Linked DNA regions of Oryctolagus cuniculus. The protein of the gene in region 4 interacts with the protein of the main gene of each other region in a pairwise test. Links are inferred from orthologs where the notes say so. Each region holds a gene or a part of one and is shown on either strand. Other genes may lie near its edges.

The links.
Region 1: the proteins of TRIP10 (region 4) and HTT interact in binary tests that used the Homo sapiens proteins (3 or more experiments, as listed by UniProt). The link is inferred for Oryctolagus cuniculus from reciprocal best matches to the Homo sapiens genes TRIP10 and HTT.
Region 2: the proteins of TRIP10 (region 4) and ABL2 interact in binary tests that used the Homo sapiens proteins (3 or more experiments, as listed by UniProt). The link is inferred for Oryctolagus cuniculus from reciprocal best matches to the Homo sapiens genes TRIP10 and ABL2.
Region 3: the proteins of TRIP10 (region 4) and ARHGAP12 interact in binary tests that used the Homo sapiens proteins (3 or more experiments, as listed by UniProt). The two-hybrid records come from large-scale screens. The link is inferred for Oryctolagus cuniculus from reciprocal best matches to the Homo sapiens genes TRIP10 and ARHGAP12.
Region 5: the proteins of TRIP10 (region 4) and WAS interact in a two-hybrid assay, tested with the Homo sapiens proteins (2 studies listed by BioGRID). The link is inferred for Oryctolagus cuniculus from reciprocal best matches to the Homo sapiens genes TRIP10 and WAS.

What each region holds. Positions count from the first base shown.
Region 1 is NC_091433.1:1,726,718-1,733,347, forward strand, and holds the start of HTT (huntingtin), read left to right. Parts: upstream 1-2,872; 5' UTR 2,873-3,022; coding exon 3,023-3,249; intron 3,250-3,812; exon of another isoform or gene 3,813-3,925; intron 3,926-6,630.
Region 2 is NC_091438.1:7,419,495-7,426,048, reverse strand, and holds the start of ABL2 (tyrosine-protein kinase ABL2), read left to right. Parts: upstream 1-2,458; 5' UTR 2,459-2,692; coding exon 2,693-2,849; intron 2,850-6,554. UniProt on the Homo sapiens protein: Non-receptor tyrosine-protein kinase that plays an ABL1-overlapping role in key processes linked to cell growth and survival such as cytoskeleton remodeling in response to extracellular stimuli, cell motility and adhesion and receptor endocytosis.
Region 3 is NC_091444.1:102,257,110-102,262,027, reverse strand, and holds part of ARHGAP12 (rho GTPase-activating protein 12), read left to right. Parts: intron 1-1,476; coding exon 1,477-1,575; intron 1,576-2,888; coding exon 2,889-2,966; intron 2,967-3,069; coding exon 3,070-3,204; intron 3,205-3,433; coding exon 3,434-3,536; intron 3,537-4,441; coding exon 4,442-4,616; 3' UTR 4,617-4,918. UniProt on the Homo sapiens protein: GTPase activator for the Rho-type GTPases by converting them to an inactive GDP-bound state.
Region 4 is NC_091447.1:60,903,902-60,909,811, forward strand, and holds part of TRIP10 (cdc42-interacting protein 4), read left to right. Parts: intron 1-69; exon of another isoform or gene 70-170; coding exon of another isoform or gene 171-194; intron 195-1,267; coding exon 1,268-1,383; intron 1,384-1,483; coding exon 1,484-1,540; intron 1,541-2,968; coding exon 2,969-3,116; intron 3,117-3,230; coding exon 3,231-3,293; intron 3,294-3,480; coding exon 3,481-3,585; intron 3,586-3,673; coding exon 3,674-3,802; intron 3,803-4,390; coding exon 4,391-4,537; intron 4,538-4,653; coding exon 4,654-4,848; intron 4,849-5,829; coding exon 5,830-5,910. UniProt on the Homo sapiens protein: Required for translocation of GLUT4 to the plasma membrane in response to insulin signaling. Required to coordinate membrane tubulation with reorganization of the actin cytoskeleton during endocytosis.
Region 5 is NC_091453.1:33,877,856-33,882,812, forward strand, and holds the end of WAS (actin nucleation-promoting factor WAS), read left to right. Parts: coding exon 1-10; intron 11-198; coding exon 199-352; intron 353-536; coding exon 537-1,272; intron 1,273-2,878; coding exon 2,879-2,906; coding exon of another isoform or gene 2,907-2,934; 3' UTR 2,935-3,173; downstream 3,174-4,957. UniProt on the Homo sapiens protein: Effector protein for Rho-type GTPases that regulates actin filament reorganization via its interaction with the Arp2/3 complex. Important for efficient actin polymerization. Possible regulator of lymphocyte and platelet function.

The DNA.
Region 1 (6,630 bases), on a different chromosome or scaffold from region 4:
TCCCAGGCCACAGCAGAGAGCTGGATAGGAAGTGCAGCAGCCGGGAATAGAACTGGCGCCCATACGGGATGCCATCGCTTCAGGCCAGGGCTTTAGCCGGAGGCGCCTCAGCACCGGCCCCAGTTAATTTCTTTTTTTAACGATTTGTTTATTTGAGAGTTAGAAACAGAGATAGATATTGATCTTTCATTTAATGGCTCACTCCCCAGATGGCCGGAACAGCCAGTGAGTGCCCGTATGGGATGGCAGTGATGCCGGTGGTGACTTTACCATTATGCCGCGATGCTGGCCCCAGTTCAATGTCATACAGTGTAATGTGCTGACTCACAGATGCACTTGGGGAACGGGACTCTAGGAACTGCTATATCGGGATTCACGTCCACCCAGCATCTATATTGGTCCCTGTGCTGCTGTAAAACGTGGCCGCCCTCGCCCGTTTCCCTGGCAGCGTCCCTGCTGCCCAGGGACTGCGCCCAGCGGCGAGGCGTTGGAGACACGATGCCCGCGGAATTAATCTTTTTTTTTTTTTTTTTTTGGACAGGCAGAGTGGACAGAGAGAGAGAGAGAGAGAGAGAAAGGTCTTCCTTTTGCTGTTGGTTCGCCCTCCAATGGCCGCCCCAGCCGGCGAACCGCGCTGATCCGAAGGCAGGAGCCAGGTACTTCTCCTGGTCTCCCATGAGGTGCAGGGCCCAAGCACCTGGGCCATCCTCCACTGCACTCCCGGGCCACAGCAGAGAGCTGGCCTGGAAGAGGGGCAACTGGGACAGAATCCGGTGCCCCGACCGGGACTAGAACCCGGTGTTTCGGGGCCGCAGGCGGAGGATTAGCCTAGTGAGCCGCGGCGCCGGCCCCGCGGTATTAATCTTTAATTACTCTGTTTGGAATATGCCAGGAGTGGAGCTGGGTTTCCAGGCCAGGCGCCTGACGGGAGCTCGGGGCTTCCCGGCAGGGCCCACGCGCTAGTGCGTTTCCCGAGGCTTCCTGGCAGGACCCCACAGTGCGTTCCGGGCAGAGGCAGGCAGCCGGGGCACCTGGGCTCCCGGTCCTACCGGCTGCGCCGTCCCAGGCAGCGGGCGGGCGAACCCCTCCCCTTTCAGGGGACTTCCAGGAGGGGCGCTCATACTGGGCAAGCTGCCCAACAGAGCTGGGCGGCTGTTCGCACGCAGCCTCGGGGGGTGGGAGGTCCCCAGGGGGTCCCGATCCCCTGTGACTAGCGTCTGCACAGGAAGCAGTGGGCACACAGACCAGAGGGCGGCCCCGGGCCTGGGCAGTGAGGATCCATGGCCGCGGTTTAAGGCCCACCCCCCCAGGCCAGCGAACTCAACACGTGTGCACCACACGTCACTGCACAACACAAAGGCACAACACGCGTGGATGACAGCGCTCACCGGCCTGAGCGGGGAGGAGCCCCCTCCTGGCCGCCAGGCTCCCTCGGCGCTGGGCCGGCTGCACCTGCGGCCCTGTACGCGCCCACCTCCCTCTGCTCGCTCACGGGGTGCCCCGGACCCCTCGGCGACAGCCTGAACGCCCCCGGGCATGAGGGGGCGCCCCACGCCTTTGCTGAGCGTCTGCGCCCCCTGGGGCCGCTCCCCTTCGCAGGGAGACCCCAGTAGGCTCAGCCCCGACCTGCCGGCGTCTGCAGCTCTACGTCGGGGAGGGGCTCTTCCCTCGTGGGGTCTTCCCGGTCGCGGTTCGCCGACACCAGCCCTGCACCTGTTCCAGCCCCCATGGTTCGTTCCCGCTAGCCCCGCCCCCAAGCCTGCCCCTTCCCCTCCTCTATAGCCACCCTTCGCCCCGCCCACTCCCCGCCCCTTCAGGGCCCGCCCCTCAGATTGGTTCCTCGCCCCGCCCCCTCTGGACCCGCCCCACCGCTCTCCGCCCCGCCCCCTCGCCTGCCCCTTCCCCGTTCCCTAAGCCACCCTTCGCCCCGCCCCCTAGAGCCGCTCCTCGCCCCGCCCCCTCTGGACCCGCCCCACCGCTCTCCGCCCCGCCCTCTCGCCTGCCCCTTCCCGTTCCCTAAGCCACCCTTCGCCCCGCCCCCTAGAGCCGCTCCTCTCCTCGTCCCCTCTGGGCCCGCTCTCCGCCCTCCTAGACGCTCCTTGCCCCGCCCCCTTGCCTGTTCCTTCCCCGTTCCCCATAGCCACCTTTCGCCCCGCCCATTTCCCCGCCCCTCAGAGTCACTCCTCGCCCCGCCCATTTCCCCGCCCCCTCTGGGCCCGCCCCACCGCTCTCCGCCCCGCCCCCTCGTCTGCCCCTTCCCGGTCCCCTATAGCCACCCTTCGGCCCGCCCCCTAGAGACGCTCCTCGCCCCGCCCCCTCTGGACCCGCCCCACCGCTCTCCGCCCCGCCCCCTCGCCTGCCCCTTCCCCGTTCCCTAAGCCACCCTTCGCCCCGCCCCTTAGAGCCGCTCCTCGCCCCGCCCTCTCCCCGCCCCCTCAGTCACTTTTCGCCCCGCCCTTGCCCCGCCCCTCTGTCACTCCTCGCCCCGCCCTTTCCCCCGCCCCCTCTGGGCCCGCCCCGCAGTCACTCCTCGCCCCGCCCTCTCCCCGCCCCTCTGGGCCCGCCCCTCAGTCACTCTTCGCCCCGCCCTCTCCCCGCCCCTCTGGGCCCGCCCCGCAGCCGCTCCTCGTCCCGCCCTCGTCCCGCCCTCGCCCCGCCCCCTCGCCGTCTTCGCCCTGAGGTAGCGCTGGGTTCTAACTGCAGCGCAGGCTCTGAGGAGCGAAGCTGCCGAGGGCGGAGTGGGGGAGGTACGGGCCGGCGCCTCGGCCGGCCATAGGCAGAGACGGCCGCCTCGGGCTGTCAATCCCGCCGCTTCGGCGTGGTCCTGCCTCCGCCGACGCAGCGTCGCTGGACGCGGGGCGCCGCGGGGGCTGCCGGGACGGGCCCAAGATGGCCGGGCGCGCTGGTTCCGCTTCTGCCCCCGGCCGCGAACCTCATTCATTGCCTCGCTGCTGAGGGGCGCCGCGTCGCCGCGAGCCGGCCCGAGGCCGCTGGGGGCTGCCCTGCGGGGTGAGAGGCCGCCATGGCGACCCTGGAAAAGCTGATGAAGGCCTTCGAGTCCCTCAAGTCTTTCCAGCAGCAGCAGCAGCAGCCGCCGCCAGCGCCGCCGGCGCCTCAGCCGTCTCAGCCGCCGCCGCCGCCGCCCGCGCAGCCGCCGCCGCCGCCGCCGCCCGCGCAGCAGCCGCCCCCGCTGCCGTCCCCGCCGCCGCCTCCCGGCCCGGCGATGGCCGAGGAGCCGCCGCACCGACCGTGAGTCCGGGGGCAGCGGCGGGGGCGCCGGCCGCTCGGGGCGGAGGGTCGGGAGCACGGTGCGGCCACGGGCCGGCGGGAGGGGAGGTGCCGGGCCCGGCGCGGGAGGCCGTGCGGGCGCGGGTGACGTCATGCTGCTGGGCCGGCGGGGCCGCGCGGGCGGGGGAGCCTCGGCGACTGCGGCCGCGGCCCCGCGGGCTCGCGTGGGCGCCGCGTTCCGAGCGCGGCCTGAGCGACAGGCCTGTCTGCGACCCCGCGTTGGCCCGCGCGCGGGACCCCGCGGCCAGCGCGGTGCTGGACACGGCGCGGTGCGATGCGCGAGACGCGCGCTCCCGCGGCGCCGGCCGGGGCGCGGGGTGCCCGCCGCAGGGGCGCCCGGGGGCTTCGCTGCTGCCAGCCCCTTACCCTGCTGGGCCTGGGGAGGGGGTTCTGAGGCAGAAACAGGAAAGCAAGTCCCCGAGCAGGCTGGGGAGTGCGGGCTTTCCCGACGGGCGGTGTGGACGGCAGGCGCGCCCCGGGGCGCCCGTGTGTCGGGCGGGCCGCCCTGCAGCCCCTCTCCCGGTCTCCGTGTCTGCTGCGCTGGCCTTGTCCTGAGCGTTCAGTACGGGAAGCGGGCTCCGGGGAGCAGTGCGGGCTCGTTTGAGAATCAAGCTCGGGAATCCCGTTCGTTGTAAAGGTAAAAACAGGTACTCCCCGGCACTCGCTCCGCGGCTCTGCCCTGCTCCTCTCCGGCTTATTCGCCGTCAGGAAGTCTTTCCTGTGTGCTTGGCCGGCACCGTGCAGGCGCGGGCCCAGCCGGGACGGAGCTCCGCTCCCCCGGGCTCTCGCGTGGGGCCGACGTAGGGAAGCCGGACGCCGAGGTCGGTGTGCGCTCTGGCAGCCGGAAGTGCAGGGAGGGACGGCGACTGTCGGGCTGGAAGGCGTTGACGTTTGCCTGGGGTGGCCGGGGGCCGCGCTGGCCTCTGAGGTGAGGCCTGCAGAGCGAGCAGGGCCCGGCGCGAGGCCGCGGAGCGGGGCGTTCCGGGCGGGAGGGAAGGTCAGAGGGCGAGGGAGGGCCATCGGGGGATCCGCCTTCTCGCAGGGAAGCCGCTGGGGTGTTAGAGCCGAGGCCTGGCGCGACCAAGCCCCGCTGGGAAATGAACTTTGTTGACATGCACGTGAAGGGGCACACGGGCGGGAAAAGGACCTGGCTGGAAGTCTGCACGCCAGCTGGGCCCGCGTGGTTCTGGCTGGCAGTGCGCCTGGGCGAGACCCAGCAGCATTGTTGATCTCTGCTTGCCGTAATGAGTTTAGCTCTGGTTGGTGTTACCACTTAGGGTTGTATCCCGCTGCAGTGGCCTAAGTTAATACGTTTATTGTAAGAAAAAATGAGTTGGGTGGAGGCTCTGCCTCCTGTGTCAGAGTGCACTTCCTGCTAGGCGAGGTCCCGGGAAGCCGTGCGATCGCCCAAGGGCCCGGGTTCTGGGCAGGAGACTGCAGCTTCACTCCTTTTGAGTTCCTCCTGCCTGCCTTCGGCCCTTATGCACTTGGGGGTAACCAGTGGATGAGAGGCTCTGTCTCTTTCTCTGAGGAGGTCAGTGGGGAGGTTGGGGAGCTAGGCTTTTTCTTAACTCTTGTCGCCATTTTTTAGTATTTACATATTTTTATTGCTGAATTACAAAAGTTCTTTATATATTCTGGATACTAGTAAACCCATACAAGATAGATGATCTGTAAAAACTTTTTTGAAAGGCAGAGACAGAGAACTTCCGTATGCTGGTTCACTCCCCAAATGTCCAGAAGGCTGGAGCTGGGCCAGGCTGAAGCCAGGAGCTTCTTCCAGGTCTCCCACATGGGTGCAGGGCCCAAGGACTTGGGCCATCCTCTGCTGCTTTCCCAGGCCATAGCAGAGAGCTGGACCAGAAATGGAGCAGCCGGGTCTTGAACTAGTGCTCATGTGGGATACTGGCACTGCAGGTGGTGGCTTTACCCACTGTCATCCAGCCAGTATAGACATTTTAATGATATTGATTCTTCTGATCCATGAGCAAGATTTATCTTTCCATTGTTTTGTGATGAATAGACTTTTATGTCAGTGATTGAATGTAATATTTCAGGCTCTGTGGGCAAACTGTTGCAGTTCCTCCAGTGTGCCACCGTAGCAGGCAACGGCCACAGATAGTACCTGATGAACTGGCTGTGTCCAGTCAGGTTTACAGATAACAGTGACATCTGAATTTCATGTAATTTTCACATAGCATGAAATATTATTATTTGATTTTAGGGAGGTGTTGTAAACTTACATTTAAAAAAGTAAAAACATTTGTTAGCTTGTAGGCTGGCCAAAAACAGGTAGCAGTTTACCCTTCCTATATTAAAATATGGTAATATTTTGGCCGGCGCCGCGGCTCACTAGGCTAATCTTCCGCCTAGCGGCGCCGGCACACCGGGTTCTAGTCCCGGTCGGGGCGCCGGATTCTGTCCCGGTTGCCCCTCTTCCAGGCCAGCTCTCTGCTGTGGCCAGGGAGTGCAGTGGAGGATGGCCCAGGTGCTTGGGCCCTGCACCCCATGGGAGACCAGGAAAAGCACCTGGCTCCTGGCTCCTGCCAGGATCAGCGCGGTGCGCCGGCCGCGGCGGCCATTGGAGGGTGAACCAACGGCAAAGGAAGACCTTTCTCTCTGTCTCTCTCTCTCACTGTCCACTCTGCCTGTCAAAAAATAAAAAATAAAAAAAAAAGAAAAAAATATGGTAATATTTTAGGACTCATTTTTTTAAAGGTTTATTTATTTATTTATTTGAAAAGCAGAGCAGGGGCTGACGCTGTGGCTGAGCAGGTAAAGCCGCTGCCTGTGGTGCCAGTATCACATGTGGGTGCTGGTTCAAGTCCCAGCTGCTCCACTTCTGATCCAGCTCTCTGCTCATGCACCTGGGAAAGCAGCGAGGATGGCCCAAGTCCTTGTCCCCTGCACCCGTGTGGGAGACCGGGAAGAAGCTCCTGGCTCCTGGCTTCGGGTCAGCACAGCTGTGGCTGTTGCAACCAATTGGGGAGTGACCCAGCAGATAGAAAACCTCTCTCTCTCTGCCTCTTCTTCTTTCTCTGTATAACTCTGACTGTTCTACTTATTTTTATGCTTCCATCTGTCTAAAGACATTTTAGTAAAAAAAAATTAGTACAACATAACTGATATTTCAGTGTCCTCCCTGGGTTAGGTGGTTCCTTACATCTGCTGAAGAATTTCAGTGCGCAGCATTCTGTGTGACCTCCACATCATTTGCTGTTGTGAGCATTGCAGGATATTGTGCTTAAATGACACGGATTCTGATAGCCGAAGTATTAATGTGTGTATGCACAGAATAGTTCTGACTGAGCTGGTATCCCCATCTTTATTTTAAAAATCTTC
Region 2 (6,554 bases), on a different chromosome or scaffold from region 4:
AACAGAGGTATTGCACAACAGCTCACATGCAGGCAGCCGGTGATAACCAGACAGGAGTGACTAATAAAGTGGTAGGTGATTCATTTTATTATTGCTTGGTTGGTGTTTTTAGTTATAGGCTGGATGTCAGGTAGAGAATTTGATCCATGGTTTAAGTGTAGACTCCTTGAAGAAGTTAGACTTGTAAAAGCAGATGGGCTCCGAGGACATTACTTTTTTTGTACTAGTAGTATACGCTTATACTACTAGTGTCAAATACTGCTTTTAGTAACCTACATGTTCACATACTTAAATTGCACAACAACCCTTGTAAGATAGGTATAATTTGTCATCATCTTCATTTTATAGATGAGGAACTGAGGCACAAACAAGTGGAGTAGTTTGCCCAAGATCAAACAACTATGATGTGTCAGAGCCAAGTTTCGGATGTAAGCAGTTTAGCTTCGCAGTCCCTGCCCCTACTCATCTACTACTGTCCACCATGTATGAGTTAGCAGAGAAAGCAATTATTACTCCCAAATCGAAATTCTCCGATAAAAATATCAAGCAGTAAGGCAAATTCTGGCTCTATAATCTTTATCCCTTGTGTACAGACTTTTTTTCAATAACTGCAAAAACTTTGGAAATTACAAGAAAATAAGTATTTTTTTAAAAGATTTATTTATTTGGAAGTCAGAGTTACACAGAGAGGGAAGGAGAGACAGAGAGAGAAAGAGGTCTTCCATCCACTGGTTCACTCCCCAATTAGCTGCAACAGCTGGAGCTGTGCCCATCCGAAGCCAGGAGCCAGAGCTTCTTCCAGGTCTCCCACATGCGTGCAGAGACCCAAGTACTTGGGCCATCCTCCACTGCTTTCCCAGACCATAGCAAAGAGCTGGATCAGAAGTGGAGCAGCCAGGACCTAACTGGCGCCCATAAGGGATGCCGGCACTGCAGGCGGCGGCTTTACCCACTGTGCCACAGCAGCGGCCCCAGAAAATAATTAAACACAGGAAAACTTGGATCCAAACAGAAAGTTCATATTCTGTACTGTGCTAAAGCTTAAAGTTTCTGTACCTATTTTGGGGGTGGGAGTAATTTCAGTTATTCCTGGCCACATCCCAGGTAACAGTGGACTATTTCATAGCCCTCCTGAAGGATCTGTGTCAGCGGGTGGTTGATGAAGGTTGTATGAAAGTGAGTGGGTTGGCCGGCGCTGCGGCTCACTAGGCTAATCCTCCACCTAGCGGTGCCGGCACCCCGGGTTCTAGTCCCGGTCGGGGCACCGGATTCTGTCCCGGTTGCCCCTCTTCCAGGCCAGCCCTCTGCTGTGGCCAGGGAGTGCAGTGGAGGATGGGCCCAGGTGCTTGGGCCCTGCACCCCATGGGAGACCAGGAGAAGCACCTGGCTCCTGCCATTGGATCAGGGTGAACCAATGGCAAAAGGATAGACCTTTCTCACTGTCCACTCTGCCTGTCCAAAAAAAAAAAAAAAAAGTGAGTGGGTCATGAACTACACCTGTCTTTGCTTCCCCCCACCTCTGTTCTTGGGGGCTGTTTTTATTTATTTATTTTGCAATGGTTCCCATTACACATTTTAAAACCAAATGTAAGTGTGATGCCGCTAATAACCGACACCTTTTAATAAAGCCAACAGGGAAGCCGAAGGAAAGGAGGAGAATAACAGCCTAGTTCTTTGAGAAGTCAGAACAAGTGGATCGATATTCAGATACACAGCGTGGGAGAGGATGGTGAGGGAGCTGTGGGAGTAAAAAACACCCTTCTCCTGACTCATCCCCTCTGTTCAGACAACAGGAGCTAAAGACGAGGAGTTCTGACTCAGAAACGGGACCGAACATTCGTATTTCTTCTCCCTGTCTCCGCCAAAGAGGACCTGGGCTGGGGCCCCGTGCCTCGAGCACGCAGCTCGCCAGTGGGCGGTTTCGCGTTAGGGTCAACCCTCGGGACACAGAAACACGCGTGCTGGGACGGCCGGGGGGCTCCGAGGGGATTCTGGGCGGCGTGGGGCACACAGCCCGGGCACACCACTGTCCCTTCAGGTGAACTTCGTGCCATTCTGTCTGCAGGCCACGGCTACGTGTAAGCGGATCCCCCCGGGCCTTTCACGACCCTCGTGTTTCTCCGCCTCGGCGGCGCCCGCGGCGGGCACTCCGCCCTCGCTGACGGAGCTGACAGGTGCCGGCGCCGCGGGCAAGGCCCGAGCTGCACCGACGCTGAGGGCGGCGGTAGCGCGTGTGGAGCAGGCCGGCGACCGCGGACGCGGACTCGGGACCCGAGGCGGCCGTGGACGCGCGCGCGCGAGGTGGGCGCGGGGGGCCGGCCCGGCGGGGAGCGGGGCGGAGCTTCCGGAGGCCCCGCCCTCCGGGGGAGCGGAGGTGACTGGCAGGCGGGGGGCGGGGGGCGGGAGACGCTCTGCCCCACGCTCGCCCGGCGCTCGGTGGTTTAAAGATGGCGGCGGCGGCGGCGGCGTTGGGGGCGCGGAGCGGCGGGAGGGGGAGGGAGCAGCGGAGTCTGTGAGTCGCCGGGGAGCAGCGCGGCGGCCGCGGTGAGGAGTCCGGGGGCCGAGCCGCCGGCGGCCCCGGCCGCTCAGGGCCAGGGCCTGGGCCGGGAAGGAGAGGCCGGAGCAGCGCCGGGAGCCGAGGAGGAATGTGACCGGGGGGTTGGCGGGGGCGCGGGAGTACGCGAGCGCAGGGATGGGGCAGCAGGTGGGCCGCGTCGGGGAGGCTCCGGGGCTCCCGCAGCCTCAGCCCCGCGGGATCCGGGGCAGCAGCGCGGCCAGGCCCTCCGGCCGCAGGCGGGACCCGGCGGGGCGCACCGCGGAGAGCGGCTTCAATATCTTCACCCAGCATGGTGAGTGTGGCGGGGCGCGGGGCGGGGGCGGGCGGCCGGGGGGCGCGGGGCGGAGGGGTGCCGGCGGGTGGGGGCGGAATCGGCTGCCATCTGGGCCCGTCACGGGCGGCGAGCACACCCCTCCCCCCGCCCGTCTCCAGCCTGGCTGGCAGCTCCTGGGGGCGGTCACTCGGAGCTCGGGTGGACTGGCCTGTCCCCCGGCTCGGGGCCGTGCGTCGTCCGGGGGAGGCAGGGATGAGGGGAGCGAGGGGCTGCGTCCGGGCGGTGGGGGGGTGGAGGCCGGTTGTCAGCGGAGGCAGCCCCAGTGTGGCTGGGGAGCTCGGGCGTGCACCTCGGGAGACTGGCGGGGAGCGGTGTCAGGGTGGCGGGCTGCACGGTGCCCTGGAATGCCCGTCTTTGTAGGAAGGTGAGGGTGCGAGCCCCTGACTGTGTGTGTGTGTGTGCATGTGTGTCTGCCCCACCACCCTGCTCTGTTCCTTGGAGGACACGGTTCTGAGATGGCTGGCAAGGGCTGTAAGTTGGTGGGCATGGCTAGGACTTCCTTCTGGGTATGGGCAAGTTTTCCTTTGTAGCCTGTGTGTGTGTGTGTGTGTGTGTGTATGCCTATGTACGTATAGTGCTTGCAGATATGTGGCCTGGCACCTATCCCTTGGGTCGCGTCTATTTATCTTGAGAATAGTTTGTCTTCAAACCCCTTTGTTACGCACTCAGTAAAAATGTTGAGCGTATATTCTGATTTGTGTATTTTAGGCCGTTATGTTCGTGTACCGTGCTAATATGTGCTGTAATTCTTAAACGTATGCAGAAATAGAATTTAGGAAATGATAGGCTGAGAATATCATAAGGCTCCTGACCCCTCCCACCCCCCCACCCCCGCCTCGCCCCGGCCCAGTGGATCCTGTACACTTCCTCAGAGACATACTCGTGTCACTTCTGAAACCTCTTTGCTAGAGGGAATAAAATCAACATTGACTTGCCTGGGATTGAGGTCCCCCCCATATCCACGAAGGGCTGAAGATGGAGGTGTGGCTGGTGGAGGGACTGGCCGGTTGAAAGTGGCCGAGAGGGGCAAACTGGACAGTGACGGAAGACGGATGTAGAAGACGGTAAAGGGTAGAAGAGACGGGTTTCTGTGTCACACAGTCGAGGGAAGTGGAGGGCGAAAGTGAAGTGTGGATCCTTTGCTAGCAGTGGCGTTGGGAGAGTGTCATGGCTGATGGTAGCATGCACAGAAGGATGAATCCGAGGGTCCGTGACTAATAGCTGAGTTGTGTCAGAGGTCTGAGTTTGGACTTTGTGGTTACACTGAGTTTTTAAATTTTTAATGTATTTGAAAGGCAGAAAGAGACAGAAGTCTTCCATCTGCTCCTCACTGTCCAAATGACTGCAGCAGCTGGGGCTGGGGCCATGCCGGAGCCCAGAGCCCGAAATGGACTCTGGGTTTCCCAGGTGGGAGGCAGGGACCCCAGTGCTTGAGCCATCATCTGCTGTCCCCCAAGGTGCACAGTTGAAGGAAGCTGGAATCGGAAGTGGAGCCAGAACTCGAACCCAGACACTCTAGTGTGTCTCAGGTGGTGTCTCAACTTCTGCCCCAAACACTTACCCCACAGAGTGAGTGTTTCTTCATGGAGGAGATGTCTGTAACTTGGGTCTATGCACGCTTCAATTCACATACCTTGAAGAAACCTCAAGCACATCTTTAGTAGCAGACATATAAAGCGATGTTTAATATTTGATGCAGGTGCCATAGGAGTTGGTGGTGGTGGTGGTGGTTGTTGTTTGACAGGCAGAGTGGACAGTGAGAGAGAGAGAGACAGAGAGAAAGGTCTTCCTTCCGTTGGTTCACCCTCCAATGGCCGCCGCGGCCGGCGTGCTGCAGCCGGCACACCGCACTGATCCGAAGCCAGGAGCCAGGTGCTTCTCCCGGTCACCCATGCGGGTGCAGGGCCCAAGCACTTGGGCCATCCTCCACTGTTGTTTTTTATTGAAATTACTTCCTAAACCATGGGAGGAAAGAAAAGAGGAGTAGTTCTCAAGAGGATGGGCATTTGGTCCAGCAGTCACGATGCTGGTGCCCAGTGACTTAAGGCTTGGGCTTGATTCCAGGCTCCGGCTCCTGATTGCAGCTCCTGCTGGTGCAGGCCCTGGGGCCAGCACATGATGGCTCAAGTGTTTGGGAGGCCTGGACTGAGAGCCTGGCCTCTGCCTTCAGCCTGGCTGTTGGCAGGCATTTAGAAAGTGAACACGCCAATGGACGGTGTTTGTATCTCTTTGCCTGCCTATTTGCCTCTTGAATACGTTTTTTAAAAAAGTTTCCAGGGAAGAAATCGTCCAAGTAGCTTTGCTTTGTGGGAAGTGTTCCTGTGCGTTAAAAGTGGGCCACTGGGCCGTGGTGATCACCTTCCTCTAATATTCAGGACAGAAGATTGTCGGAGGAGGAAGAAGTCGCGAAGAATAGGATAGCAAAGACATGTTCGAAGGATGGATGGAATTTGGACCAAGGGAGCAGGAAAAGGCAGTCTGAGTGGGAACGGTGGGGATGGGCTTGATTTGTTGGTGGGACAGTGAGGAGACGTCTGTCAGGAGTGAACTTTGACCTCCAGCAGAATCGCAAGTCAGGTTCTATGCTGGCTCTAGCTGACTGGTGCGTTTAGTCATCACTTTTGGATTTCTTTATCTGTACAATGAGGTGAGGCAACATGATCTCTGAGATTCTTTGTCTTTAAGATTTTATGATTTTAATTGAGAAACAACAGAAAAAAACAGGTTGGATGGACTGGGTTATGGAAAATCTGGCAAAGAGGTTTGTGTTGGTTTGCCTGATTGGCTAGTTGATAGGATGTATCAGTAAACCCAAGTGTGAAATGTAAGACTGAGGCGAGAAATGGAAGAGGAGGGGTCAGGGCCATTTCATGTGTTCAACAAACAAAAGGTTTTTTTGAGCACCTACTTAAGTATTGGGCCATGGAAGTGGTGCGGTGAATATAATAGAGTGCTTGCCAGGATGGAACTTAGAGGACTTTGTGATCAGTGTAGACTATGAAAGGAGAGAGAGCACATTGGAGTGCTTGTTAAAGGCATGAGCTCTGAGGCTGGCTTGATGAATAAAAGCCACTGCTCGGGATGCTGGAGTCCCATATGGGTGCCTGTTCAAGTCCCAGCTGCTCCACTTGCTACCCAGCTCCCTGAAAGCAGAGGAAGATGGCCCAAGTGCTTGGGCCCCTGCCACCTGCATGGGAGACCTGGATGTAACTCCTAGCTTTGGCCTGGCTCAACCCTGGCTGTTAGGACCACTTGGGGAGTGAACTAGAGGATGGAAGACTTCTCTCTCTTTGTGACTCTGGCTTTCAAATAAATAAGTAAATAAATTTTTTTTTTTTTCTTTAAAAAAGGCATGAACTCTGGCACCTTTCTGCCTGGATTTGAAACCTGAATCAGCTGCTCATTAGGTATATGGCCCTGGACAAGTTAGCTTTTTTTAATGCCCTGGATTCTCTATCTGTAAAACAGGCATAATAATAGTATCTAGAATTAAATGATATATGCAAAGCACTTAAGATAGTGACTGGCACATAGTAAGAATTTAATATGTGTTAGCTACTGCTATTACTACTACTACTGTTATTAAAAATAGGGTGATTAAAAGGTGACACCAAGATTTTGAACTTGGCTAACTGGGATAATTATTATTCTGTTGACAAGTCG
Region 3 (4,918 bases), on a different chromosome or scaffold from region 4:
CAAACTAAAAAGACAGATGAGTTTTACCGAAAAGGTATTTAAGACTTGTCAGGGGCCAGTGCTGTGGCAAAGTGGGTTAAGCCTCCAGCCTCAACGCCAGCATCCTATATGAGTGCCAGTTGGAGTCCTGGCTGTTCTACTTCTGATCCAGCTCCCTGCTGATGCTCCTGGGAAAGCAGTGGAGGATGGCTCAAGTGCTTGGGCCCCTCACCCACATGGGAGACCCAGAAGAAGCTCCTGGCTCCTGGCTTCTGCCTGGCCCAACCCTGGCCGTTGCTGCCATCTGGGGTATGAACTAGTGTATGGAAGAGCTCTCTCTCTGTCTCTCCTCTCTCTCTAACTCTGCCTTTCAAATAAATAAAAAATACATCTTTAAAAAAAAAAGACTTTTCAACAGAGTTTAAGTGCATTAAATCAGCAGCCTTAAGAGTTAAAGGTAGGGGCCAGCATTGTGGTATAGAGGCATAGCAGCCAGACGCCAGCATCTCATGTGGGCGCTGATTCGAGTCCCGGCTGCTCCACTTCCAATCCAGCTCCCTGCTAATGGCCTGGGAAAAGCAGCAGAAGATGACCCAAGTGCTTGGGCCCCTGCTACCACATGTAAGTCCTGGATGGAGCTCCTGGCTCAGCCCTGGCTATTGGGGTAACCTGGGGAGTGAACCAACAGAGGGTAGATCACTCTCTGTGTCTCCTTCTCTCTCTATAACTCTGCCTTTCAAATAAATTAATGAATCTTTAAAAATGGTTTATGGATTTAAAAAAATAGTTTATGGATAAATGGGTATTCCCAAATAAAGAATCTGAATTTGCATGGCAAGTTTAGGCCTCTATAAAAAGACGTTTGACAAACGAATGAATAGAAACGGCTGCTCATTTGTTCCTTAGACCTCTTCATTGAGAAATGTAAACTGTTCTCACTGTGCAGTGTCACTCACGACAAATACTCTGTGTGTCGGCCTTCCTGAATATTTAGCACTACGTGGAACATCGGAACGGTGGGGCTGAAAGAGTGAAAGGGCAGCTGCTGAGGGAGGTCTGGTGACGTCAGATGATCGCCCAGGAAGGACACGCATGTGCGTGTCCTGATAGTTTGTAGCATAGTTGAGTATTTGCTAAATGCTGGGGTGAGCCTGGGTGATGTGAGTAGCTGTTGGTCCCTGTCCTCGTGAGACTTCTACTCAGGTGATAGGAGAGCAGACAGGCTGAATCGTGCTGACCAGGTATCAGAGAGCGTGCGGAAGGGGTGGTCTTAGATAACAGTGGCCAGTAGATTTTTCTGAGGGGCTGACATTTTAGCTGAGAGGGGAAATTGGCTCTCTCCAAAGGAGTTGAGAATACAAAGGCTCTCCGGCTCAGTGAAGAGTTTTCTGAAGCGAAATTGAAAAAGTAGGCCGAGGGCAGATGGAGTAAGGCCTAGCCATTTCCTAAACTCAATTTTAGTAAAGCAATTCATTTTTGAAAATAAATGTCTTTCAGATCAGGTATTTGGAGCCAACCTTGCTAATTTGTGTCAGAGGGAGAACAGCACAGTGCCTGCGTTTGTGAGGCTGTGCATTGACCACGTGGAAGAACATGGTAAGAGACCGGTTTTGGTTTTCTTGTTCTTTTACATTAAACAGCCAACCTATTGTCTAACCGTCAAATCCAGGGGAGGCAACCAGCAGTTCCTTACAGTCCTGAAATGTCCAGAAAAGCATTTTGTTTGGGGGAAAAACAAAACAAAACACCACCTTATTTATTTAGACCTGTCGCAAATAAGACCTCTGCAGGTATCTATTGAATGCTTTAGTCCTAGTGATTAATTAAGTGTGTGGTACTCTGAAGCCATTTGGAGTTGGCCTTTGATTAAAATGAAGAACACGGTGATTGTGAAACTGCGTTTGTTAGGAAGTGATAGTGCAGAGATCTGAGGAGACTGCGGAAGTGAGATGACGCTGTGTGTATATATTGGAATGTCAGGCTGCAGCCCATTAATACGTACAGTCATTGTTAATAAAAGGATTCTTGAGGACTGTTCAGTCAATACAGAATGTTGATATCATTTCCTACAAAGCGTGACAAGCTAATTTCTGTTTTGGTTAATTTTAACATTTATAATATATAATAGTTTTTTTTTTTTTAATAAATTAACAGTATGTTAGCTGTAATCACACCATCCTAGATCTGTGTGTCATCAGAAGCATTTCATGCAATTAAAACATGTGATAGGATTTGTAATTTCTGCCAGTTCCAGGTCTCTTGTGCCCCTGGCTCCTCTTGTCGACGTGACAGTCGTCGACACCACACTGCTTGCTTGCCTTTGTCTGAAGTTAAACGGAACAGCACATCAGCTAATGTGCTTTGTTAAATGTATACAGCACTGTCATTTCATGCATACCTACAAATTTAAGGCTTAATTATGTAAATTTCTAATGATTCTGTTTCATATATAAGATAAATTATCAAATGAGCGTGTTTCTTTTGATCTGCTTGTATTACAGTTATTGCAAGCACTTAATATGACAAATACTTTTAAGAGAGTTCTTCACTGTGTACATTTATGTTATAAAGTAGTGCGCAAAAAAATAGCAGGCCAGTGTTGTGTACTGGCTTCCTTTACGTGTTGAACTGTCCCAGGTGTTTCAGAAGTTTATCTGAAATTGTTGTGTTTCTTAAGTTTTAAATGTTATGTTTGCCTTGAGCCTGATAAACAAAGCAGAGTTTATTAAACAGAATTCAGAGTGAATTTCTAGCCCGCTCCCCTTGCCAAGCATGTATAAAAAGCCGTTCGGAGAAGAATATTTGTGCATTTGGTTTTAGACGAATGCTAACGAGTGAGAATGCCCAGACAGGCAGCTGCAGAGGCGGCAGAGCAATCCCTAAACCTGAAACGTTGTGCCTCCACCTAGGTCTGGATGTCGACGGGATCTACAGAGTGAGCGGCAACCTTGCTGTGATCCAGAAACTGAGATTTGCAGTCAACCACGGTAAGATTATCCTCCCTGCTGTCACAGCCAAGAGCTGCACTCACCACCTTCAGAACTGGCTCGAGGCCATTTTTAAAAATTTCCGATTCCTTCTGTTTCCCAGATGAGAAGTTGGACTTGAACGACAGCAAATGGGAAGATATTCATGTCGTCACCGGAGCACTCAAAATGTTTTTTCGAGAATTACCAGAACCGCTTTTTACATTTAATCATTTTAATGATTTCGTTAATGCAATTAGTAAGTATGTAAATGCATTGTTTTTTCTCTCTACATACTGAAAATCCTTCCTGTAGATGATACCGTCGTGTTGTTTGATCTCTCATTATAAAGATGGTTTTACTCCAGATATTTTAAATGTGACCACCAGATGGCACTGTGTATTACCAAATACCCTTTTCCAAACGGTCATTGCTTTCAGTTTCCTAAGTACTAGCTGCCGAATACCTACTTGTTATTTATTTTCCAGAGCAGGAACCAAGACAGCGAGTCGCTGCTGTTAAGGATCTAATCAGACAGTTACCAAAGCCAAATCAAGATACAATGCAGATTCTTTTTAGACATCTCAAAAGGTAAGAGGGGAAGGGCAGTCTGAGATACGGCGTAGTGCAGTGGGAACCCTGGGCGGTCCCAGTCACTCAGACCCAGGATGGGATCCGGCCATGCTACCTGCTGTCTTTGTGACTGTGAAAGAGGATGCTCCCCCGACTTCCTTTAGTATCAGTTCCTCGGGGGTGAAATGATGTAGGGTGAAACATGCACTAGACCCTGTGTGTGGAGCATTTATATAGGGCCTGCCACATTGTTGCTACTCGTGCAAAGATGAGATTGAGCCTTAAGTGTGAGACATTAAATTACCTTCAAGTAAAGCCACCGTGGCTCTGGGTTACTCTGGACATGTGAGTAACTGAATGTTTTCATCTTATAAAAAGAACTTTAGAATCTAAAATAATCCCAATAGGGAAATTTTTGTTGTTTTGCAAAAATAATATAAAATCAGTATAATTCAAAGTTCAATTTCTGTGTCCTGGTGAAATCCCCCCCCCCCCCAACCATCCACCTGGGGGAGTGACCACTGCCACCTGAATCGTAGCTAATACTTTGAGTCTGTGTCCTGTTTACAGAGGGAGCCAGAAATCTCACACTTTTAAAATTTGTTAGAGTGTGTCCAACGGGTCTTCGGGAGTTCACCAGGAAATGCGTACTGTGAAAAGAGCTGTGCGTGGATTTCAGGTTTTTTCAAATTGCATTTCTTGCGAACTTTTGAAGGCCTCTTGTGTAATTATCCTTTCATCTGAGTTTTTTCAAAAAAAGGCTTCACACGGCATTCAGACTGGGTTCTCCTTGGTTCAGGACTTTATGTGTCTTGGGAGAATGAGCGCTATTCTCTTTTCTCAATGCAGACGGTTAGGTTCATGATGCAGTGTGAAAAAGTTTTCCCCACCATCTTTTAACAACCTCTTCCCCCCTCTCCCAGAGTTATAGAAAATGGAGAAAAAAACCGAATGACCTACCAGAGTATAGCAATTGTCTTTGGTCCCACCCTGCTAAAACCAGAGAAGGAGACTGGCAACATAGCGGTTCATACTGTGTACCAGAATCAGATTGTGGAATTAATTCTGCTGGAAGTAAGCTCCATCTTCGGACGTTGAATCTTCACGAGGACGACCTGCGGAGCGACGCGGGGCTCCATCGATTTCACGTCTCTGTCCACAGTGTGCTTTCGTTTTGGACCAAGCAGTGACTCTTTGATTTTGCACTTTTTTGAGGGATCAGAAGGGAAGGGGAGCGTCACGATGCCTATTAGGCCCTCATATTTGCTGCTTTGTCACAAGGAGGTGTAACTGTGTAATATTGAATTCATTTATCCTGAATGTCTGCATTTCATACTTGGAATTCAGTAAAAGAAAAAAAAAAAAGAGAGACAGAAAGAAATCAAAACTTAACAGTTCTA
Region 4 (5,910 bases):
GCCCCGCCCGCGGTCTCCGCGCAGGGCAGGGGGCGGGGAAAAGCGAGCGGGGGCGTGTCCCAGCCGGGTGGGCGTGTCCGGGGCGGGCGGGGCGGGGTCGGCGCGCCGCCCCGGGCCGAGTCTCGGGGCGGAGGGTGGCGGGCGGCGGCGCCGGCGGCGGCGGGAGCAGCATGGATTGGGGCACCGAGTTGTGGGTGAGTCCGATCGGCGCCTCTCCAAGTTCCGTCTGCTCGGGTTCGGACTCCCCCTCCCCTTTTGTCCCCAGCGGACCCCAGCGGGGGCTGCGGGGGGGCCTCCGCGCTTCCCCTCGCACCGAGCCGAGGGTCTCTGGGCGCCACCGACGCAACGAGTTTCTGGGGGGCGTCACGGAACCCCCGCGGCGGGGGGCGAAAACCCACCTCGCAGGGCGGCCCGGGGAAACTGAGGCACGGGGCCGCGAGCGCGACGGGCCGGAGTCCCCAGGCCAGGCCGGGGCGGCCGGGCGAGGTCACCTATTTTGGGCGTCCCGGCGCGGCCCGCGGCTTATCTTACGGCCCCTGGGTCCCTGCCCGCCGCCCGCCTGTCCGGCTGGCCGTCCCGTGTCCCACGTGGGCCCCGCCAGGGCCGCCCACCTCCCAGGAGCGCCCGGGAGGCTGAGGGCGCCCTCGGAGGGGGAGGGGGCTGCGAGCCCGGGCCCCAGCGATCTTCCAACCCTGCCCTCCCCGGGCCCGGGAAGCCCCAGGGTCGCTCCAGGTCCGGGCCGGACCTAAGACCCCTCCCCTCTCCGGGAGCGGCGAGTGCCTGCGTCTCCGCCCGCACCCTGGTCCCGCACCGTCGGCTCTTCTCCGGGAGCCCGTGGGGAGATGGAGGCGCGCGTGGGGTGCGGCGGGGGGCGCTCGGGGCCTGCCCCCGGGCCCTGCGGGCCCCCAGCTAGCGGCCAGGGATCCCTGCCCTGACTCACGCCGGGCAGGCCGGATTTTCCGGAATCTGGGGGGGATTAGGGGAGCCGGGCGCGCGCGGGGCGGGGGGGTGGACGGTTGTGCAGGGGAGTGGCCTCGCCCCGCTCCACGCCCCTCTCGGCCGCTCGGAGACGGAGACCCCGTCGTCCGGCTGGGGCCCTTTCCCGGGAAGGGGAGGGGGTTCCCGCCAGTTTCCTGCCGGCCCCCGCGCCACTCCGGGGCGGTGCCTGGAAGCCCCTCCTCCGCCGAGCGCGGGGGCCCTGGAGCCGGGCGCGCCGCGAAGTCCCTAGGTCGCGACCCGGGCCCTGCCGTCCCCTCCCCCCCGCCAGGATCAGTTCGAGGTCCTGGAACGCCACACGCAGTGGGGGCTGGACTTGCTGGACCGATACGTAAAGTTCGTCAAGGAGCGCGCCGAGGTGGAGCAGGCGTACGCCAAGCAGCTGCGGTGAGACCCGGAGGGCTGGAGACCCCGTGGCCCGGCCGGGCCGGGTAGGGGGCGGCCGCGGCTCAGGGCGCTCAGTCATCCCGCCTCTGTCTCCCCTTAGGAACCTGGTGAAAAAGTACCTGCCCAAGAGGCTTCCCAAGGATGACCCCGAATCCAAGTGAGGCTGGGGCCGGGGCACGGGGCTAGGCTGCCGGTGGGGGGGCCGCGCGGGGTTCCCTGGCTCGGCTTCTGTCTTTCCTACCTGTTACACGGGGAGGCCCGAGCACTTGTAGAGTGAGTGACCTTGGGCCTGCGGCTTTGGGGCCTCAGTTTTCCTCATCTGAGAAGTGGGCGTGGGAACGGAGCCACTTGTCCTGTTCTGCTCAGGTGAGGCTGAGGGGAGTTTGCCCAGGACTCAGGACCGCGGTCCCCTGCCTGTCCTAACTGTCCCGGGAGCGCTTGACTTTATTCTGAGTTCCTCACTGCAAAATCCAAAAAGTTCTGGGCATCAGCAGTGTGTTTGGTGAGCTGCTAGCCACCTCCAACGTAGGTGAGGCGAGATTATGGTGGCTTTATCTCGCTGGGTGTAAATGCAGCCTTCCCTGGGCACTGTGTCTCAAAATACTTGAATTTTCAAAATCACCTGTGCACTGAACATGCGCAGTCCCACCCCTGTGCTGCTAGTCCCTAAATGATACAGTGTAGCACTCACCTTGTCTAGGAGGCTATGTCAGCTACAGGTGATTTAAGGTGTACAGGAGGGGGCGAGGTAGCCGAGAACACTATGCAGCTTACTTTTTAGAATGCATGGGAGACCAGGAGGAAGCACCTGGCTCCTGGCTTTGGATCGGTGCAGCGCCAGCCGTAGTGGCCACTTGAGGGGGTGAACCAACAGTAGGAAGACCTTTCTCTCTGTCTCTCTCTCTCACTTTCTAACTCTGCCTGTCCAAAAAAAAAAAAATACATTGATTATTTACAGGAAAGCAAGCACGAGATCTCTATCTGCTGGGTTTATACTGCACATGTCTACAACAGCCAGGACTTTGGGGGGAGGGGCTAGAGAGAGAGATCTCTTCCATCTGCCGGGGACAGCCAGGCTGGGTCTCCCACGTGGCCGGCAGGGCCATCACTGCTGTCTCCCAGGGTGCGCATTCCCAGGAAGCTGGAATCAGAAGTGGACCTGGGATTTGAGCTCATGCACTCTGATGTGGAATGCCAGCGGCCCAGGGAGCGCCTTAGCCTGTTGCTAGTGAGGATTTTGGATCCTCCCGGGGTCCTGGAGGCATTGCCCTCCCCTCTACCCCGGGGGATTCTGATGCTGTCACCATTAATACCTCCACAAAGGGCGATTAGTCAGGGTGCAGCCCCAGCCCCACTGGGGCAATGCACACAAGTTCCAAAACCTGTGCCTCTCCTTTCGAAGACTCGAAAATCTCCCAGTTCCGCAGTGCACCTCACTCCCCGGTAGCGCGTGAGGGATGTGGACCAGAACTTGCCACTGCTTCGGGATGGGTGTCTTGGGGGCTTTATCCCACCTGGAGGTGGTGGTGGGGAGTCCGGGGGTGGGGCTCTGACTCCCTGTCCCCGCCTCCCCCACGTCTCCCAGGTTCAGCCAGCAACAGTCCTTTGTGCAGATTCTGCAGGAGGTGAATGACTTTGCGGGCCAGCGGGAGCTGGTGGCCGAGAACCTCGGGTTGCGCGTGTGTCTCGAACTGGCCAAGTACTCGCAGGAGATGAGGCAGGAGAGGAAGATGGTGAGGGCTCCGCGCCCTGGGTCTGGCCGGGGCCGGGGGCCGGGGGGCCGGGGGGCCGGGGTGGGGCTTCGGGAGGACCCTGGTAAAAGTCTCTCGCGGCTCCTCTCCCCCTAGCACTTCCAGGAGGGCCGGCGGGCCCAGCAGCAGCTGGAAACCGGCTTCAAGCAGCTGGAGAATGTGAGTGTGCCGGCTGGCGGGGGCCGCGGCTCCGGAGGCAGTGGCCCGAGCTGCCCTCCCTGCCTGGCCGCGACTGCCTGTCCCCCCCGCCCCCCGCCCCCCGCCCCAGGCGTGTCCCCCACTGTGCTCAGTGACCCCCATCTTGGGGACAGGCAGCTCCTTCACTCCGCTTCCGTCCCTTGTGCAGAGCAAGCGCAAATTCGAGCGAGACTGCCGCGAGGCGGAGAAGGCGGCTCAGACCGCGGAGCGCCTGGACCAAGACATCAACGCTACCAAGGCGGACGTGGAGAAGGTGCGTGCGCATGCGCGGAGCCCGGCCCCGGACTCCGGGCATCTGGATGGGGCGGAGGCCCCTGACGCCTGCCCGCCCCGCCCTTCAGGCCAAGCAGCAAGCGCACCTGCGCAGTCACATGGCCGAGGAGAGCAAGAACGAGTACGCGGCCCAGCTGCAGCGGTTCAACCGCGACCAGGCCCACTTCTATTTCTCACAGATGCCCCAGATATTCGACGTGAGTGCCCCAGGCTCCCACGCCTTCCTTAAAAAAAAAAAAACGAACAAAACAACAAAAAACCCAACTCTTACTCATACGTCAAAACCCCAGCTGCCCGGTTCCCCAACTCCGGGATTGCAAGGGAGCCAGACATGCAGGAAGGACCGGTGTGCTTTCTGCTCCAGTGACTCCTGTGTGCCACAGATGTTTCTCTGTCCTTTGGGAACTCCTGCTCATCCTTTCGAAGCCCCAGCTCTTCCGATCCCTCCGAGAAGGCTCGAGTTTAACCCTGTCTTCTCGAAGGCTACTCCTGGCCCTGGGAGGGTCTTTGCTGGGTCTAGCTCTGCTCCGTTTCCCACTGCCACTCCTTGCCTGGCTGGAGTGGGGAGGCTTTCCCGGCTCCCTAGGCAAGGGGCATCCTCTGAGATGCCCCCCCTCCCCACCCTGTGCCCCCACCGGCCTTGTGTCTCTCCCTGAACTGCATCGGGTGGGAATCTGGTTGCATCTGGGTCTTTTCCACCAGACCGGGCTTGGGGCTGGGGCCAGCGCGAGGAGCATCCCCGTGTTTGCTGAGTGAGTCACCCAGGCCACCTCTGCCCCTTCCAGAAGCTGCAGGACATGGATGAACGCCGCGCCTCCCGCCTGGGCGCCGGGTACGGGCTCCTGTCTGAGGCTGAGCTGCAGGTGGTACCCATCATTGCCAAGTGCTTGGAAGGCATGAAGGTGGCTGCCGAAGCCGTGGACGCCAAGAATGTGGGTGCCTCATCTGGGTCCCATGGGCCGAGAGCCGGGCACAGGGGAGGAGAAGAGGCGCGTCCTCCAGCCCCTCCCCTGACTGCCTCCCCCCCCCCCCCCGTCCCTTCCCCCAGGACTCACAGGTCCTCATAGAGCTGCACAAGTCTGGCTTTGCCCGCCCTGGCGATGTAGAATTTGAAGACTTCAGCCAGCCCATGAACCGCGCGCCCTCGGACAGCAGCCTGGGCACCCCCGCGGACGGGCGGCCGGAGCTCCGCGGCCCTGGCCGCAGCCGGGCCAAGCGCTGGCCCTTCGGCAAGAAGAGCAAGGTGGGGGCCGGGGCCCGTGAGTGGGGACAAGGGGGGCCCCCACTGACTCAGCCCCAGCTGCCTGAACGCCGAGTCCCGGGCAGGAATTTTCCTCTTGGCTGCTGGCCCGGGCTGGAGGGAAGGAAGGCGAGCGGGCGGGCCCATCAGCCTGGGAGTCCCCGGAGGCTGGGGGGACCAGTGTGTGTGTGTGTGTGTGTGTGTGTGTGTGTAGCAGGGGCAGCCTGTGGCGTCTGCCTGCTGTTCTCAGAATGGGAGGAGAAGACCTGCTTGTGGAGTTCAGGGCTGGCCCGAGGGCTTGAGACACCACCTCCTAGAAGCCCCCCGGGGTTTCCTCCAATGTCCTGGTGGCTCCCTGGGCCACCACGTCCGATGCTCTTTTTCCCCCTTGGGTGTTTTGGCTTTCGGTGTTGGGCATACACCTGGACACTCCTAGTCCGTGCCTTTGACAATGCTCCCTCTCGGCCGACCTGGGGTCCCTTCATCCGATACTGCTTTTGATTTCTCCTTGGAGACCACCCCCACTCCACGGACACCTGCGGGCCTCTGGCTGCCCGCCCCCCTCCACCCCCCATGATGCTTCCACCTTGGAGCCCTCTCTCAGCTCGCCCGCCCTCTGGCTTCTGTGTCTGAGACCTCATTGGCCGCCTGCATGTTGCTCCCGCCCTCTAGACTGTGAGCCCAGAAAGCCTGGTGGAGACCAGCTGCAGCCCCAGGGGGCCTCCTTCCAGGAGAGGGGGGGGGCAGGGTCTGGCCTTTGGGCTCACAGCCTCACACCCTCCCCACCACCCCTGGCATTTCTGTGTTCACTCTTGCACGCATTTTCTGTGTGTGATCATACATCTTAAGTTGTGTTTTCCTTACCGTGTTTTTTCTTCTTTTTTTTTTTATCTTTCTCCATTTTTTCTTTCTGGCCTCTTTCCATCCTCTTCTACCTCCTCCCATGTCCCGGGACCCACCTCTCCCCCCGGCCCCCGCCGGTAGCTGCGTTCCCCTCCCCTCTCCCCACTGGGGGGTTCCCTGCCCCCGGCATTGCCTAACGGGCCCCCATCCCCCCGCTCCGGC
Region 5 (4,957 bases), on a different chromosome or scaffold from region 4:
CGGATTTGACGTGAGTAACTCCAAAGTCCCCTGGTACCCACTCAACTTCCACCCACCTTTTCCTAGATCACTGCTCAGAGCCCATATCCAAACCCCATGCTTCCCACATCCCTGGCCAGGATGGACCCAATGACAATTCCTATCCTCTCCCTCCTCACCTTATTCCTTCGCCCCTGCCTGGGTCCTTTTCCGGGGCAGGTGAACAACCTGGACCCGGATCTGCGGAGCCTGTTCTCCAGGGCAGGAATCAGTGAGGCTCAACTCACTGATGCAGAGACCTCCAAACTCATCTACGACTTCATTGAGGACCAGGGCGGGCTGGAGGCTGTGCGGCAGGAGATGAGGCGTCAAGGTGAGGCCCCTTCTCTACACCCGCTTCTTCTCCAGCCCTGAAGCCACCCAGTCCTTGCAGAACCCCCTGTTCTGCTTGAGTGGGGAATTGGTCAGGCGGAGGGACCCATTTTACAAATGAACAGAACTGAAGCTTGCAAGAAAACGACAATAATAGCAGCTGTGTGTTATTTTTCCCCCTACAGAGCCGCCCCCACCGCCATCTCGAGGAGGGAACCAGCCCCCCAGACCACCTCTGGCGGGGGGTAACAAGGGCCGTTCTGGTCCACTACCCCCTGTACCTTTAGGGGGCGCTCCGCCCCCACCCACGCCCCGAGGACCCCCACCCCCAGGCCGAGGGGGCCCTCCACCACCACCCCCTCCAGCCACTGGCCGCTCTGGACCACCGCCCCCTCCGCCCCCTGGAGCTGGGGGACCAGCCATTCCACCTCCCCCGCCCCCTCCCCCACCGCCACCCCCCAGCTCCGGGGATGGGCCAGTGCCTCCCCCGCCCCCACTTGCTCCGCTGTCTGGGGGTTGCATGGCCTCTGGAGGGGGTCGGGGGGCGCTTTTGGATCAAATCCGGCAGGGAATTCAGCTGAACAAGGTGAGGACCAGCAGAAGGGAGGACTGGGGTCTGGGACTCCGGGGTGTCAGGTGCAAGTCAGCATACAGGGAGGCGGAGGCTGAGACTGATGGGGGTGCCAGGCCTTGGGGTTTAGTGCTAAGCTTGGGAGGTGGGTGGGGAGCCTTGAAAGGGATTGACGTGTGGGAGGAAAAATTACAAAGAAGGGGCGGAAGAAGTACTGAAACTCTCCTTGCTGCAGACTCCCGGGGCCCCAGAGAGCTCAGCCCTGCAGCCGCCACCGCAGACCTCCGAGGGGCTGGTGGGCGCCCTGATGCACGTGATGCAGAAAAGAAGCAGGGCCATCCACTCTTCCGGTGAGCCTGTCAGGCCCAGGCCCTGAACCTGGTTGCCAGGGCTAGCCTTGGCCTGCAAACATCCCAGGCGGTCCCCATCAACAGAAACATTATATACGTCTGTGGGTAACAGTATTGAAGAATCTTAGATCAGTCTCCTTAGTGGTAACATTTAGACAGTATATGACCATAATATAACTCTTACCTTTGACAATAGTATTAATGTAATATTAACTATTATTATCATTAGGGGTGTGCCCATGGCATTAATGCTGTCCTGTATTCAGCCCTATTAACATCAGTATGTGACAATCCTATTTTAAAGAGCACCATCTTCGACACTAACACTAACTTCCTGTACCAACAGTTTATATGAACCCATGATAATAGTAGCTAACTCCATCTTTCTACAATAATGCTAATATTAACCTCCTATTGTGGCAACAATACTATCCTTCACACATTATATGAAGATAATAGTAATTTTAACCTATTACCGGACAATAATACAATTAACTCCAACTTTGACAATAACATTAACCCCAAAGTGTGTCCACAAGATTAACGCGATTCCATTATATGACAGCATTATAACCAGCCTCATCATTTGGCAATATTATCATTAAACTCCATTATGGGTTAAAAAGATTAACATTAACCCACCATTAAGCAAAAATAAATTACCCCACTTTCACTAACAGCATTTACACTTGCCCCTTTAAGTGACAAATGGGTTAACATTAACCTGTTGTGTGACAATATCCCGACTAACCGTGTTTTTTGGAAATGTTTCTTAAAGCGTTATTTTTCAAAATTTTATTGGAAAGGCAGAATTACAGAGAAGGAGTTACAGGGAGGGAGGGAGTGAGAGAGAGAGAATCTTCCATCAACTGGTTCACTCCCCAGATGGCTGCAATAGGTGGGACTGGGCCAGGCCAAAGCCAGGAGCCTGGAAGTCCACTGGGGTCTCCCAGGTGGGAGGCAGGGGCTCAAGCACTTGGGCCATCTTCTGCTGCTTTCCCAGGCACTGGATCAGAAGTGGAGCAGCTGTGGCCGGAGTTGTGGGGTAATGGATAAATATGCTGCCTGTGATACTAGCAGCCTATATCATTCTGGTTTGTATCCCAGCTGCTCCACTGCCGATCCAGCTCCCCATTAATGGCCTGGAAAAGGAACGGAAGATGGCCCAAGTGCTGGGGCCCCTGCCACCTGTGTGTGAGACCTAGATGGAGTCTCAGGCTCCTGGCTTTGGCCATTGCAGCCATCTGGAGAGTGAACCAGCAGATGGAAGTTCGCTCTCGCTCGCTCGCTCGCTCTCTCTCTGCCTTTCAAATAAATAAATACATCTTAAAAAAAAAAATCACTTCTTGGCCTTTTGGCTAAGGTCAAGTGTAGTAAGCAGACAAACAGAAGACCCCAAAACTAAAATGCCAGGCCTCAGACTAACCATATTTTGAACAATACCATATTAATTTCAGCTCCAACTAGAACAGACTTCCCGACTATAACGCCTATCTTGTCCCAACCAGAAACCCTAACTTGACCTTAGGAATACCCCCTCAGCTCTCCAGGGCCTTTGAATTTTCCCCCCAAGCTGAACTCCCTCTGAATCCTTGTCTCCTTTCAGACGAAGGAGAGGACCAGGCCGGCGATGAGGATGAAGACGACGAGTGGGACGACTGAGTCACTGCCCACTCCCTACTCTGCTCTCTACTGCCCCTGCCTCCCGGCCCCGACTCTGCACCCCAGACCCCCAAATCCCATTTCTTCCCTGAACCCTACCTTGACTGCTGTTCTCCCTGCCTGGTCCCCACAATCACCCTCCCAATACCAAGGGCCTTTTTATATATATATAAAAATTCTCAGTCCTCTTCACTCAAGGATTTTTAAGTAAAAAATAAAGTCATTGTCTTTTTGTCTTCCCTAATGTGTTTGATTGCATTTCCAGTGTGGGAATTAGGGGTCCTTTCTCCCCAAAGTCCCTTTAGTGGATCTATCTCATTTTATTTATTTAGCCTCACATGGATATATTCATTGATTTGTTCTTTTACGTCCTCAGCCATTTTGCCTGTATTTCTTTCCATATTTATTTCCAGGCACTACTTCAGGGGCTAGGGATGAAGGAATGAGGAAGAAGTACAGAAAAATAAATTGCTGCCCTCATAGGGTTGGAATCACTCTCCTAGGGCAACAGACAAGAAAGAAAGAACCAAATAGAAATCAAGCAGAGTTACAGACCATGATGAGTGCTGTGGTGCACCATTCAGATGGTAATGGGAAGGTGACACTTGGAGGAGGTGACAGTTGTATTGAACCTAACAAAACAGAGGATGGGCCATTAGAATATTTGGGAGAAAAAGCAGTCTAAACTTTTGGGATAGCCAGTGCAAAGGCCCTGAGATGAGACAAACTTGGTGTGAGGCCAGGTGTGGTGATCATGTGCTTAATTATTTAAAAAAAAAAAAAGCTTTCAGTGAGCACAATACTAGATCAAGAACACACTTGATGACCAAATCTCCCTACTCTCTGTGTGCACAACTCATACAGCAAGAACCTGCTGGGCAGGATGCTCCTCTCAATTGTAAAATTCAGTTCTGTCCAGTTCCTGGTGCAAACCACTAGCCAATTGCAACAGAAGATCACACAGATCTGCTCCAGAACATGAGCAAGCTGCCTCAGGCGCTGAGCCCGTTTCCTCATCTCTAAATGGTGATCATACCATCTAGATAAATGATTCCCACCCCTCCTCATCCTCCTCCTTCTCCTCCAGGACTTTCTCCCTCCCTCCCCCCAAAAAAGGCGTACCTCAAAACTGTCCTTGGGGCATCTGGCCTAGTGGTTACGACACCTGCATCCCACATCCCACATCTGGGTTCCATGTCCAGCTCCCTTCCCGACTCCAGCTTCCTGCTAATGCAGAACCTCCAGAGGCAGTGGCAATGGCTCAAGTGCTTGGGTCCCTGTCACCCATGTGGAAGACCTGGGTGGAGGTTCTGGCTCTTGGCTTCTGCCTGGGCTAGCCTGGCAGTTGCTAGCATCTGGGGAGTACACCAGGGGATAGGAGCTCTGTCTGTCTGGTGCTTACAGCTATTTCCAAGGGAGTAATTCAAAGCTCTGGCATATCACAGCCTAGACTTGAGGCCCCTATGCCTTCCTATTTCTGAAATCTAGGGGGTTCAAGATCTCAAATATTTTCCTTTACAGGAGGAAGAGGAGGGAATAGGGGAGGAAGGGGAAGGGGAACCCAGAGAGGGGAAGCCTCTCTCATCCGCAAGACCAGTGGAAGAATTTCTGAGCCATGGAAGCACGGGTGGCAGTGGGGTGTTGAGGAGGGAGAGAATGAGGGAGGTGGTGGGAGCTGTGAGGGAGGGAGGAGATGGAGGGCAGGGGAGCTAGCTTTGCCCCTTAAGAATTCCCTGAGGACAGGGACATTTGCCCTGAGCTAGAGAAGGAGGCAGTCTCTGGTTTCCTCTAATTTTTTCATTTCTTCACCCCTGTCTCCACTTCCCCACCCCACCCCAGGCAGGCAGATGGACACTTGGTCTAGGGAGGAGGGTCTGTCAGTGTCACTTATTTCCCCCTCCCAGTCCTCCACAGAAACCCTGGAAAATCAGTGTGTTGGGACTTTGTTCTGGAAGAGATCTTCCATCCCACAACCTCTGAACTGCTGTAAGTGCTGGGTACAAGAGTTGACTGTGAGGGGCAG